3 linked regions of the Rattus norvegicus genome follow. The protein of the gene in region 1 interacts with the protein of each later gene in a pairwise test. Links are inferred from orthologs where the notes say so. Each region holds a gene or a part of one and is shown in the gene's direction. Other genes may lie near its edges.

Region 1 (4,495 bases):
TGATTTTAATGCCCAGGTTTGTTAAGTGAAAAATATATTCCTGGTTTGTATTATTGGAAAAAATCAAATATGCCCACACATTACACATATTTTTAAACAGCAACACTGTTTCCATTTTGCATGCTTAATAAATATGTATTAAATCGTCAGACATTGAAACAAATGTAGGAACAGTGCAGTTCTGTTGGGCTTATTAAAAATCCCATCTTAGCCATTCATAAGCGTGCTTTCAAGTATTTGTTACTAAAATCAAAATGATATTCCTTCTATAATAAAGGCTGTAGCAATTTTCTTCATTAGCGACTGCAGACTTTAGTTTCTGACTCAAACCTGGAGCTCAACCATGCACAGCTTGTAACAATGTGTTGCTTGGATCCCAGTTTGAGGGTCTTCATTTTCCTTTTAGTGGGTCTAGTATGAAACAGAATAACTGGAGCCTAAGCTGTACCTTTTTGTTAGTCTATCTGTTGAGACTTTATGGGAAAACCACTTAGGTATTGCACCGCATCATTCTGGTAACATAGGAAGCTGAATCAGTTTGTAGTTGAAGTCACGTATTGGTTCTTACAAATCAGGGCATATTAAACCCTGCAGGAGCAAAGACCTGATTCTGAGGATATCGCAAATGAAGCTTGTCCAAACAGATTACACCTACGGGCTCTCACATCTAGCTCTAGCCCCCAACCTTAATTTAAGCAATTGAACATCTGGTAAATCCTAAGCCTGTTCAACTGAGAATGACTCATGAGGAAATCCTGATTCCTTACACCCTGAAACTACAAATGATCCGGGTGCAGCCGAACTGGGAATCTTGGGTTTCCCTTTGTATTTCTCACTTATCACTCAGATCTATGCTATGCCCGGAGGGAGATGCCCATCAGGGAGATGCCCATCGGGTCTCCTGGGGAACGACCTTGCAACGTCACAGCCTGCTGCAACCATGCATTTAAAGATCAAGACTGCAGAACCATTTAAAACACCAGGTTTTAAGAAACACTTTCTCCTGCTTCCTCCCTGAGCAGCCTGTATTCCCTTAAGGAAATCCAAGGTGCCTCAGAGAGCTACAGAGTCACAGCACCTAGTTCAGTAGCCTGTGTTTCAGGGTTCTCTTGTTGTTGATTTCCTTCTCCAAAACAGGTGGAGTGGCCGAGTGCAGTCAGCAGGACTCTCCCCATCCCGGCTTCAGTTTATAGGTGTCCGGATGAACAAAAGACAAGTTGCAAAGGTGGGGGGCACACACCACAAACCACACGCGCGCGCGCGCGCACACACACACACTACGGTCTTCACTCAAGAAAAAGCCACAAATTCAGGACCCTTCACGGCTGTGGCCGCCTGAGCTGCCTAACAGCGATCGCTCTCTGTCCCCGCCCGCCACCTCCCACCCTGTGTGCGCACGAGGATGCGGCGCCTACGTCAACAGCGCCCTCACTTCCAGACCCTTCGGCGGCTGCCGTGACTGCCGCAGGCCCGCGTGACCCCGCCCTCGTGCCGTCTGCAGTGGGCCAATCCGCGCCCTCTAGAGGTGTGGCCGACGCCTCCAAGTCCCGCCCCTGCGCCGCCGCCCGCCTTAAAAGCTCGCGCCGCGCTCCGGGCGGCAAACAGCTGCGGTGGCCGCGGGTGTCTGAGAATGCAAAGTGCCATGTTCCTGGCTGTCCAGCACGACTGCGTACCCATGGACAAGAGCGCAGGCAACGGCCCCAAGGTCGAGGAGAAGCGGGAGAAAATGAAGCGGACACTGTGAGTATGCCCTCTCTTCCTAAGAGTTCCTACCCTGCCTGGCTTTGCTGCTAGGGACCGACCTTCTCTCGATCTCGGCTAGGAATACTCTAGACTGCGCCTCTGCAAAGAAAGTGTGGGAGAGTTGGGGGCTTGTGGGGGAGAGAAAAAGTTAGCTTGCTAGATCTGGTGGTATGTGCTTTTTCTATGTGAGCTCAGAGAGTTTAAGAACTGTAGGAAATGGTCGAAGAAGGTGGCGGTAGATGGGCTGAGAAGGCGCTGGTTGGCTTTTTTTTTTTTTTTTTTTTTTTTTGTTCTGCATTTAATGTAGCATCAGACTCCTGCAGCGGAATGAAGTCCACCGGCGCCTAGTCGTTGCATTGTTAGTTCTGAGCTGCTTGCATAGCTGCTGGGTGGGGATGTTTGAATTGATTCTCAATGTATGCGATCCGTTTTTAAATCATAAAGTAGGTCTCACCCAGTCACGACTATGGAATGAGTAATTCGCTCTGCAGTATCTGCTGCAGAGAAGCACTGTGGGCGGCCTGAGAAGGGAGCTAGGGAATCCAACACACACACACACACACACACACACCTATGCATTGTCTCTGGCATAGTCCAGACCCTCCAACACACACACACACACACACACACACACACACACACACACACACACACACCCCTATGCATTGTCTCTGGCATAGTCCAGACCCTCCTGCCTCCGGTGCAGAAAGGGAAAAAACAGCAGCTGTTCTCAATCACAAAATGTCAGCAAGTTGTAGTCAACCACACAGAAAAACCTCTATCTGTTTATTAGGTCAGAAATAGCTGGTGAAAATGTAAACTGCCTTAGGTCTTACCTAGTTCTATCCTGCTTGTGAAGCTCATTATAGTCAGACTAATGGAGAAAAGCCAGGAGGTGCTGGGTTTAAATGCTAAGGGAATGAGACTCATTGTCTGCTTTGTCTGTAGCTACTGCAACTGATGATAATTTTACCATTCAAGAATTGCTACTTGAAGTATATTTTCTTTCTTTCTTTTTTCTTCCAGCTTAAAAGATTGGAAGACCCGTTTGAGCTATTTCTTGCAAAACTCCTCTACTCCTGGGAAGCCCAAAACTGGCAAGAAAAGCAAACAGCAAACTTTTATCAAGTGAGTTTCAAATCCTGTAGTTACAGAGATGAGTATCTGGTCAAACCAGTGGACAGGAAAGGGGAGCTGTCATGTGTGGTGAAGCTCATGTGTGGAACTTCTCTTGCAGGCCTTCTCCTGAGGAAGCGCTGCTCTGGGCAGAAGCATTTGATGAACTGCTGGCCAGCAAATGTAAGTTAACCTCTTGAATGTGATCTCTTGCCGGTATCTCAAAAGCCTAGAAATGTTCCCTTCGCACCACAAAATGAGCAGTTTGCAAGAAATGCATTAGACATTACCACCACCGACAGTACAAAGCCTGTTTCTCTTTCCCTTATATCACTAAGTTTAATCATAGGGAAGCAAGAGGTATTCAACTCAGGTGGGGAAGAAAAATTAGCCTAAAAATTAAGATGCCAGTTACTCATAGCTGATTGAGTCAGCTTTTCCATTACATAGAATATTTTCAAAAGCCCTAGTTCCTAGTGGACTTAGAGTCGTCCTGTAAATACTGGTCTTGGCATTGACAGGGAAGTTAAGTATACTTTTTGTTGCAGACTACAAACTTAAGCGTTTTGCTTACTGGCATCTTAGTGCTTAAAGAGCTAGACTTCCAGAATGACAGGCTTGAATGAAGTCTAGGAAACTGATCATTTTGTACTAGGAGAGCTGTGTGTAATTCGGCCATTCCATTCATATTCTTCATACCGCGTCTCCTTGTGCTTCCAGATGGGCTTGCTGCATTCAGAGCGTTTTTAAAGTCCGAGTTCTGTGAAGAAAATATTGAATTCTGGTTGGCTTGCGAAGACTTCAAGAAAACCAAATCACCACAGAAACTGTCCTCAAAAGCAAGGAAAATATACACCGACTTCATCGAGAAGGAAGCTCCCAAAGAGGTAAGAAAGCAGGTTCCTCAGATCGTCTTCAATACTGAAGGGAAACACGAGACTTGAATACACTGCGTTCATACTCACGGGAGAGGAGCCGTGTATGGCTCTCACCCCAGCTCTCCTAACATTTAAGTTTCTCCCAAAACTGACAGTTATAACTGATCACAAACTATACCTTCATGTTTTATTATTAAGCATCGGTCTGTACCATTGAATAGCAAATAAATGGAGTTTTCTTTTGTTCTTTCAGATAAACATAGACTTTCAAACAAAAACTCTGATTGCCCAAAATATCCAAGAGGCTACAAGTGGCTGCTTCACCACAGCGCAGAAGAGGGTGTACAGCCTGATGGAGAACAACTCTTATCCTCGTTTCTTGGAATCAGAATTTTATCAGGACTTGTGTAAAAAGCCACAGATCACCACGGAGCCCCATGCTACATGAGACAGGGAGACCCCCACCGAGGACATTCCATTCTGTCTCCCGAGAGCAAAGGCTGTAACCTGCCAGAAAAAAAAAACAAACTGACCTTGAATTCAGCCTGAGTGTTAGGAAAACATCGCTCAGAACTATTGATTCAATGTTGGGTAGTGAATCAGGAAGCCAGCAACCTAGGAGAGTCTCTGTGAGAAGTTTCCCTTGCTGTGTGAAGAACAGAGGGAGGGAACAGGGTTCTGAATGGGCTCGTCCCTGTCAGGAAAGCAGGGTGTGAGATGAAAGATACAATGGAATGTTGTTGGAGCATTTAAAATCA
Region 2 (2,790 bases), on another chromosome or scaffold:
CGATTGATGGAGTACTTCCAGGAAGCCCCGGATTTGTTCCCTACAACCACAAAAACAAAACCAAACAAACCAATATGTCTGTACATGTCTATAAGCCTGAAATTCCAGCATTCAGGAAGTGGACACTGGATGAAGACCGGGAATTACAAGTCCACCATTGTTGACTCCAGTGTCCATCTGGAAGGAGGAGTGGCTATAGCATTGATCTCCTTAAACTGTTGTAGCTAAGTACAGGCGATGGAGCTTGAGTGGCAGTTGTCCAAGGTAGAGCAGAGATAGTCCCAGTAGGTGATGCTAAAGGCTGGAGGTTCTGGAGGCGGGGCATATAGATGAGGGGGTGTGGTCTGGAGCAGTGATGAAAGGCTGGCAATAAATTGTTGGAGGAGAGACTTGACTGGATCCTGTAGTCTGCGTAGACATTAGTAGCACGGTTTCCCACCGTTAGGGCGCAAAGTGAAGGGACATGGTTAAGAATGGGACTAACTGCGTCCTGATCGCACCCCTTTCCACAGGATGATCCCTTCTACCAGCCAGACCTTCCTGGTGAATGATTTGGCGGCTGGCCGCGCCTATGATTTGTGTGTGTTGGCAGTCTACGACGATGGGGCCACCGCTCTGCCGGCCACCAGAGTGGTGGGCTGTGTGCAATTCACCACCGCGGGAGATCCTGCACCATGCCGCCCGCTGAGGGCCCACTTCTTGGGCGGCACCATGATCATCGCCATCGGGGGCGTCATCGTAGCCTCGGTCCTCGTTTTCATCGTTCTGCTCATGATTCGCTACAAAGTGTATGGCGATGGGGACAGCCGCCGCATCAAGGGGACGTCCAGATCGCCCCCTCGGGTCAGCCACGTGTGCTCTCAGACCAATGGTTCAAGTGCACAGCAAGCCTCCGCCCCACCAGCTCCAGACCGCTACGAGGCGCTGCGGGAGGTGGCTGTCCCTGCAGCCATCGAGGCAAAGGCCATGGAGGCCGAGGCGACTTCCACTGAGCTAGAGGTGGTGCTTGGACGCTCTCTGGGTGGCTCGGCCACCTCTCTGTGCTTGCTGCCCTCCGAGGAAACTTCAGGGGAGGAATCTAGGGCCGTAACCGGCCCTCGAAGGAGCCGTTCGGGGGCCTTGGGGCCTCCAACTTCAGCACCCCCAACGCTAGCTCTGGTTCGTGGGGGATCCCCGGCCCGGCCGAGGCCACAACAACGCTATTCCTTTGATGGGGACTACGGGGCGCTGTTCCAGAGTCACAGTTACCCGCGCCGCGCCCGGCGGACAAAGCGCCACCGGTCCACGCCCCACCTGGACGGGGCTGGAGGGGGCGCGGCCGGGGAGGACGGAGACCTGGGGCTGGGCTCCGCCCGGGCACGCCTGGCCTTCACCAGCACCGAATGGATGCTGGAGAGTACGGTGTGAGCGGCGGGCGCACGGGCACCGGGACGCCTGTGGGCCGCACTTAGTTGCCCAGCCCGGCCGGATGCGGGGGAGGCTGGAGAGAAGGGACGCGCGAGGGGCGGGGCCTACCGCAGTCAAGGCCACGCCCACCAGCCTCCGGATTGGAGGAAGGCCGCCGGCCTCTCCGACTCCACCCCTCTGCCCTGTCCCCCGCGCGCTCGCGGACCTCGCCGGAGCCGGTGCCTTACACAGCGAAGCGCGGGGAGGGGCGGGGCCCCCCCACACTGCAGCACTGAGACACGAGTCCCCTACCCTACCCGGGACCCTGGGGCAGGGGCGAGGGGCCCATTCCTTGTATCTGGCTGGACTAGATCTCTTCTGCCCCGCGGCGGCCTCCAAAGCCTCCCGTCCCCTCACCCAGCCCCATCCCTGGTCCCACCAGTCTGGTTTGGAGGGAGGGGCTTCTTTTTTCTCTCTATGTCCTAGTCTTTCCTGCCCTCTGTCGTCTGTTTTAAGTCCTTCCCTACTTGTCTCCCTTTTTTCTGTCCCATTGTCGTCTCTTCTCCCTCTGCCCTCCCTTGTTTTTGGTTTTTTGTTTGTTTGTTTGTTTTTTGTTTTGTCCAGTGTCCGTGTCTCTCCCGATTCCCTGTCCTCACCATCTTCCGGGCAGGTCCCACTGAAGGACCAGACTCTTCTATCTTCCTTATCCCCACAATGAATTCCCCACACAAACAAAAACCAAATCCCACTCCGGAGCCGGGACCCTCCGCCGCAGCAGAATTAAACTTTTTTCTGTGTCTGAGGCGGCTCTGCTGACGTGTGTGTGTGTGTGTGTGTGCGCGCGTGTGTGTGCGTGTGTGTGTGTGCGCGCGTGTGTGTGCGTGTGTGTGTGCGCGCGTGTGTGTGCGTGTGTGTGTGCGCGCGCGCGCGTGTTTTGGGGGTAGGAGGATTCTGAATCAGACTGAAGAGGACATGACAGTGGGCATGAGGAGACTGGAAGGCAGACTCGGAGGTGGGGAGAAACAAAAATGATAGTGACAGGTGGCTAGTATGTGGGTAACCTTTAAACCATCCAATCTTTAAAATTATCTTAGGACATCACACTGTTAGCCCATTTTAGAGATGAGAACGCTGAGAACAGGTGGAATAGATAACATGTCCTGGCATAACCAGAGGGTGGAAAATTAAGATTCGTTTATTTAATATTGATTCCAGCTGGGCATAGTGGCTCTTGCCTTTAAGCCCAAAACTCAGAAGGCAGAGACTGGGGGATGTCTTATGATCTCTGATCTTGAGGCCAGCCTAGTCTACAGAATGAGTTCTAGATAAGCTAGGGCTACATGGTAAGTATATCTGAAAACAACAAAAAGCAATTCTCCATGCAGTGTTTTCTTACTGATTTAG
Region 3 (3,961 bases), on another chromosome or scaffold:
CGAGGCTCCACCCCAGCTGAGAATATCTGTTGGGGATGGTCACAATGAATACACCGCAGACCAAACCGTGCACCTTAGTGATGGCACTTCAACCGTGTGCAACCCACAGAGTCTCCTGTGGTAGTTTGGGCTATAGTGCACAGGGAGGAGAACCTTGCATGGCACTGGGGTGGGCTGGGAAGGAAGAGTCAGTGAGAATCGGGCTTCCAGGCCGCTACTGGGTGTGTGTGTGTGTGTGTGTGTGTGTGTGTGTGTGTGTGTGTGTGTGCGCGCGCGCGCGCGCGCGCGCGCAGAAAACACGGGTGGTCCCTACCATCTTCCCTCAACGTTCCCTTCCCCTTCCCTCCGTTCAGGCTGCAGTACGGTGGTCTGGGCCAACTGGCAGACGGCGTGGTGGGGCTGGATGATTTCAGGCAGAGCCAGGAGCTGCGGGTTTGGCCAGGCTATGACTATGTGGGATGGAGCAACCATAGCTTCCCCAGCGGCTACGTGGAGATGGAGTTTGAGTTTGACCGGCTGAGGTCTTTCCAGACCATGCAGGTGAGTGAGCTCCGTTCTCTGGGAGGGAGCTCTTGGGTTTTCCTGGCCTTGACTCAGTGTTTTCCTCTTAACCTCAGGTCCACTGTAACAACATGCACACTCTGGGAGCCCGCCTCCCAGGCGGGGTGGAATGCCGGTTTAAAAGGGGTCCGGCCATGGCCTGGGAAGGAGAGCCTGTACGCCATGCCCTGGGGGGTAGCCTTGGAGACCCCAGAGCCAGGGCCATCTCGGTGCCCCTGGGTGGTCACGTGGGCCGCTTCCTGCAGTGCAGATTCCTCTTTGCAGGACCCTGGTTACTCTTCAGTGAGATCTCTTTCATCTCGGGTAAGCCCCCAGTGTGTGCCAGCCTTAGCCCCTTAGGTTTCCCTGTCATCAGACAGTTAATCCTGTGGCGTCCTGATATTCTGTCACCCCCGAGATTCTCAAACTAAGGTGGAATAATCAGACCCCGGTTCTTTTGTAGAGTCTTTGTTTTGTTTTGTTTTGGGTTTTTTGTTTGTTTGTTTTTGGTGTTTTACAGACTTTTTTATTTTATTCTGTTTTTGAGACAAGGTCTCACTTTACGGTCCTGGCTGCCCTGTAACTCACAGAATTAGGCCTGCCTCTGCCTTCAAGTGCTGGGATTAAAAGCATGCGCCACCACATCCAGGCAGATTATTCTTAAATATAATTTAAAATTTAAAAATGGGGCTGGAGAAATGGCTCAGTGATCAAGAGCACCGACTGCTCTTCCAGAAGTCTTGAGTTCAAATCCCAGCAACCACAACCATCCGTAATAAGATTTGATGCCCTCTTCTGGTGTGTCTGAAGACAGCTACAGTGTACTTATATATAATAAGTAAATCTTTAAAAAATAAAATTTAAAAACGATTCTGTTACCTAACTTGGGCCAGCCTAAAATAAATTTCAACGATTTCCTGTGCCTCAGCCTCCTAAGCCATTAGGATTATTGGCGTGTACGGTCCCTTTTCACCAAATCTCTCTGTGTTTCCTGTATAAGTTCCCCCATTCCCGATTCATCCTGAGTGAGGGAAGTCTGTTTAAGCCTGAAAGACTTCTGTTCTGCCTAGATGAGGAACAGCCTCTTTTCTAAGCCTGCGGGGCCCCGCCCCAATTTATCCACTTCCGGTTGGCCAGGGACTCCCCAGATGCGGTACCTGTGAGGTTGCTCTGGGTAATCACTAACCACCTGCCCTCCTTAGTTCGCCAGGTCTCACACAGCTGTGTCCCCTCTGGTCCTCACTCCCTCTTGACTTTTCTTCCTTCTCCCCAGATGTGGTGAACGACTCGTCTGACACCTTCCCACCAGCCCCCTGGTGGCCGCCTGGCCCGCCTCCCACCAACTTCAGCAGCTTGGGTGAGCAGTCTTTGACCTCAGCTCCTCCTGGGTCTTCCCCTCCGGTGGGGTAGGCCACCCCGCTGTGGTGCTGACCTTTCTCTTCTATCAGAGCTGGAGCCCCGGGGTCAACAGCCTGTGGCCAAGGCGGAGGGGAGCCCAACTGCCATCCTCATTGGCTGCCTGGTGGCCATCATCCTTCTCCTCCTCCTTATCATTGCCCTGATGCTCTGGAGGCTGCACTGGCGCCGGCTGCTCAGCAAGGTGAGCAGGGATGTGTGTGTGTGTGTGTGTGTGTGTGTGTGTGTGAGTGTGCACACATGTGTGTACATGGGAGTGACATGTGTCAGTGTATGTTTATGTGCATGTGTGTGCGCATTGTGTGAGTTGTGTAGGACTGTGTATACAAGTGTGAAAGTGCATGTGTGTGAGTGTGTGCATGTACATGTGTGCATGTGTTTGAGTGTGTATAAGACTGTACACGAGTGTGAAAGTATATGTGAGTGGCTGCTCAGCAAAGTGGGCAGGGCAGTGTGTGTATGAGTAAGTGTGTGTGTGTGCATGTGCATGAGTGTGTGTATGACTGTGTACAAGTGTGAGAGTGCATGTGTGTCGTATGTATGTGAGTGTGTGAGAATGTGTGTGAGTATTGAATATATGAGTATGTATGCATGCATATTGAGTGCATGTGTGAGTGTGTGCATGTGTGTATGTAAGTGCAGTGTTTTTGTGTGTGCATTTGTGTATGTGTACATGTGTGTATACAAGTGTGTGTGAATGTGGATGAGTGTTGTATGTATGAGTATATTTGTTTGGATGTGTGTGTGAGTGAATGTGGGTGAGTGTTTTATGTTTGAGTGTATGAGTGTGTGTGTTTGGATGTGTGTGTGTGTGAATGTGGGTGAGTGTTGTATTTTTGAGTGTATGAGTGTGTAGGTGTGTGTGAACATATGTGTGTGTTGTATGTATGAGTGTATGTGTTTGAGTGTATTTGAGTGTAGGTGTATGCGTGTATGTGCTCTCATGCAGAATCAGGGGCCAGTAGGATCTGTAGGGTGTGGACTAATCTCAGAAACAGACCATTCTCAAGAGTGGGCATGAGTGTGTCAGTAATACCATGTGAGTTGGCTCCCACCTCTGTGGGCCTCATTGGGTGAGAGGACTTGGCTGTTACCAGAGCTAGGGAGGAGCAAGAGCCAGAGAGTCCCTACTTGGTCCCTTGAAAGAGGCAGGGCCTTCTGGTACAGGATGTAGCAGGCAGCAGGGCAGCCCTCCCTCAGGGAAGAGCCCTGAGGACAGATCCTCACCTCACATTCTGTCCCTCAGCCAGCGCTGTCTTCCTCCCCTGCCATTCTCTAATCAAGCCCAACCAGCCTGTGGGGAGCAAAAGCCGAAGAGTAGGGGAGCGAAGGAGACAATAATCGGGTCGCTCGCTCTCCGTATGCCCTGGACTTCCACGTGTCCATTGTGGCTGATAATTAGGGTCTCGTCAGATTTGGGTTGGGTCCTGTGGTGTGACCTCAGGGAAGTGGGGCCATAGGAGCTACAGCTGTTAGGCTGCCGTGAGTGGAGAACAGAGCAACTCAGGAAGCCATGCTAAGCAGTGGCTCAGGCAAAATTGTCTAATCCCATAATTAGGCAGAGCGCCGGGTGTTGGAGGAGGAGCTGACGGTTCACCTCTCTGTCCCTGGGGACACCATCCTCATCAACAACCGCCCAGGGCCCCGAGAGCCACCCCCTTACCAGGAACCCCGGCCTCGGGGGACTCCAACTCACTCTGCGCCCTGCGTCCCCAATGGCTCTGGTAAGGCCTGCCTTGTTCCAGTGCCACCATGTCTTGTCTTCTGCCTGTATCCTTACCGTAGCCCTCCTTCTCCTGTACTGTCTATACCAGTTCTGACTCATTTTTCTCATTTCTATCCATCTCCATAAAGTCTCCCCCAAGGCTTTCCTGTCTGTTACCTACAATGCCAGTGGGCCCATCCTGTCACTGTGTGGTAGACTTCTGTTGTGCCCCTCTCCTTGTCTCCCTACCCTCCACATTTATCTGTCCATCTGTCCATCCATCCACTCACTTAACCACCC

What was found.
Region 2: the proteins of Rgs2 (region 1) and Lrfn1 interact in a two-hybrid assay, tested with the Homo sapiens proteins (2 studies listed by BioGRID and IntAct). The link is inferred for Rattus norvegicus from reciprocal best matches to the Homo sapiens genes RGS2 and LRFN1.
Region 3: the proteins of Rgs2 (region 1) and Ddr1 interact in a two-hybrid assay, tested with the Homo sapiens proteins (2 studies listed by BioGRID and IntAct). The link is inferred for Rattus norvegicus from reciprocal best matches to the Homo sapiens genes RGS2 and DDR1.

What each region holds. Positions count from the first base shown.
Region 1 is NC_086031.1:58,349,802-58,354,296, reverse strand, and holds Rgs2 (regulator of G-protein signaling 2), read left to right. Parts: upstream 1-1,630; coding exon 1,631-1,740; intron 1,741-2,769; coding exon 2,770-2,871; intron 2,872-2,980; coding exon 2,981-3,042; intron 3,043-3,579; coding exon 3,580-3,746; intron 3,747-3,990; coding exon 3,991-4,185; 3' UTR 4,186-4,234; downstream 4,235-4,495. UniProt on the Homo sapiens protein: Regulates G protein-coupled receptor signaling cascades. Inhibits signal transduction by increasing the GTPase activity of G protein alpha subunits, thereby driving them into their inactive GDP-bound form.
Region 2 is NC_086019.1:92,886,797-92,889,586, forward strand, and holds the end of Lrfn1 (leucine-rich repeat and fibronectin type III domain-containing protein 1 precursor), read left to right. Parts: intron 1-512; coding exon 513-1,407; 3' UTR 1,408-2,188; downstream 2,189-2,790. UniProt on the Homo sapiens protein: Promotes neurite outgrowth in hippocampal neurons. Involved in the regulation and maintenance of excitatory synapses. Induces the clustering of excitatory postsynaptic proteins, including DLG4, DLGAP1, GRIA1 and GRIN1.
Region 3 is NC_086038.1:3,060,047-3,064,007, forward strand, and holds part of Ddr1 (epithelial discoidin domain-containing receptor 1 precursor), read left to right. Parts: intron 1-353; coding exon 354-540; intron 541-617; coding exon 618-864; intron 865-1,813; coding exon 1,814-1,897; intron 1,898-1,988; coding exon 1,989-2,140; intron 2,141-3,514; coding exon 3,515-3,680; intron 3,681-3,961. UniProt on the Homo sapiens protein: Tyrosine kinase that functions as a cell surface receptor for fibrillar collagen and regulates cell attachment to the extracellular matrix, remodeling of the extracellular matrix, cell migration, differentiation, survival and cell proliferation.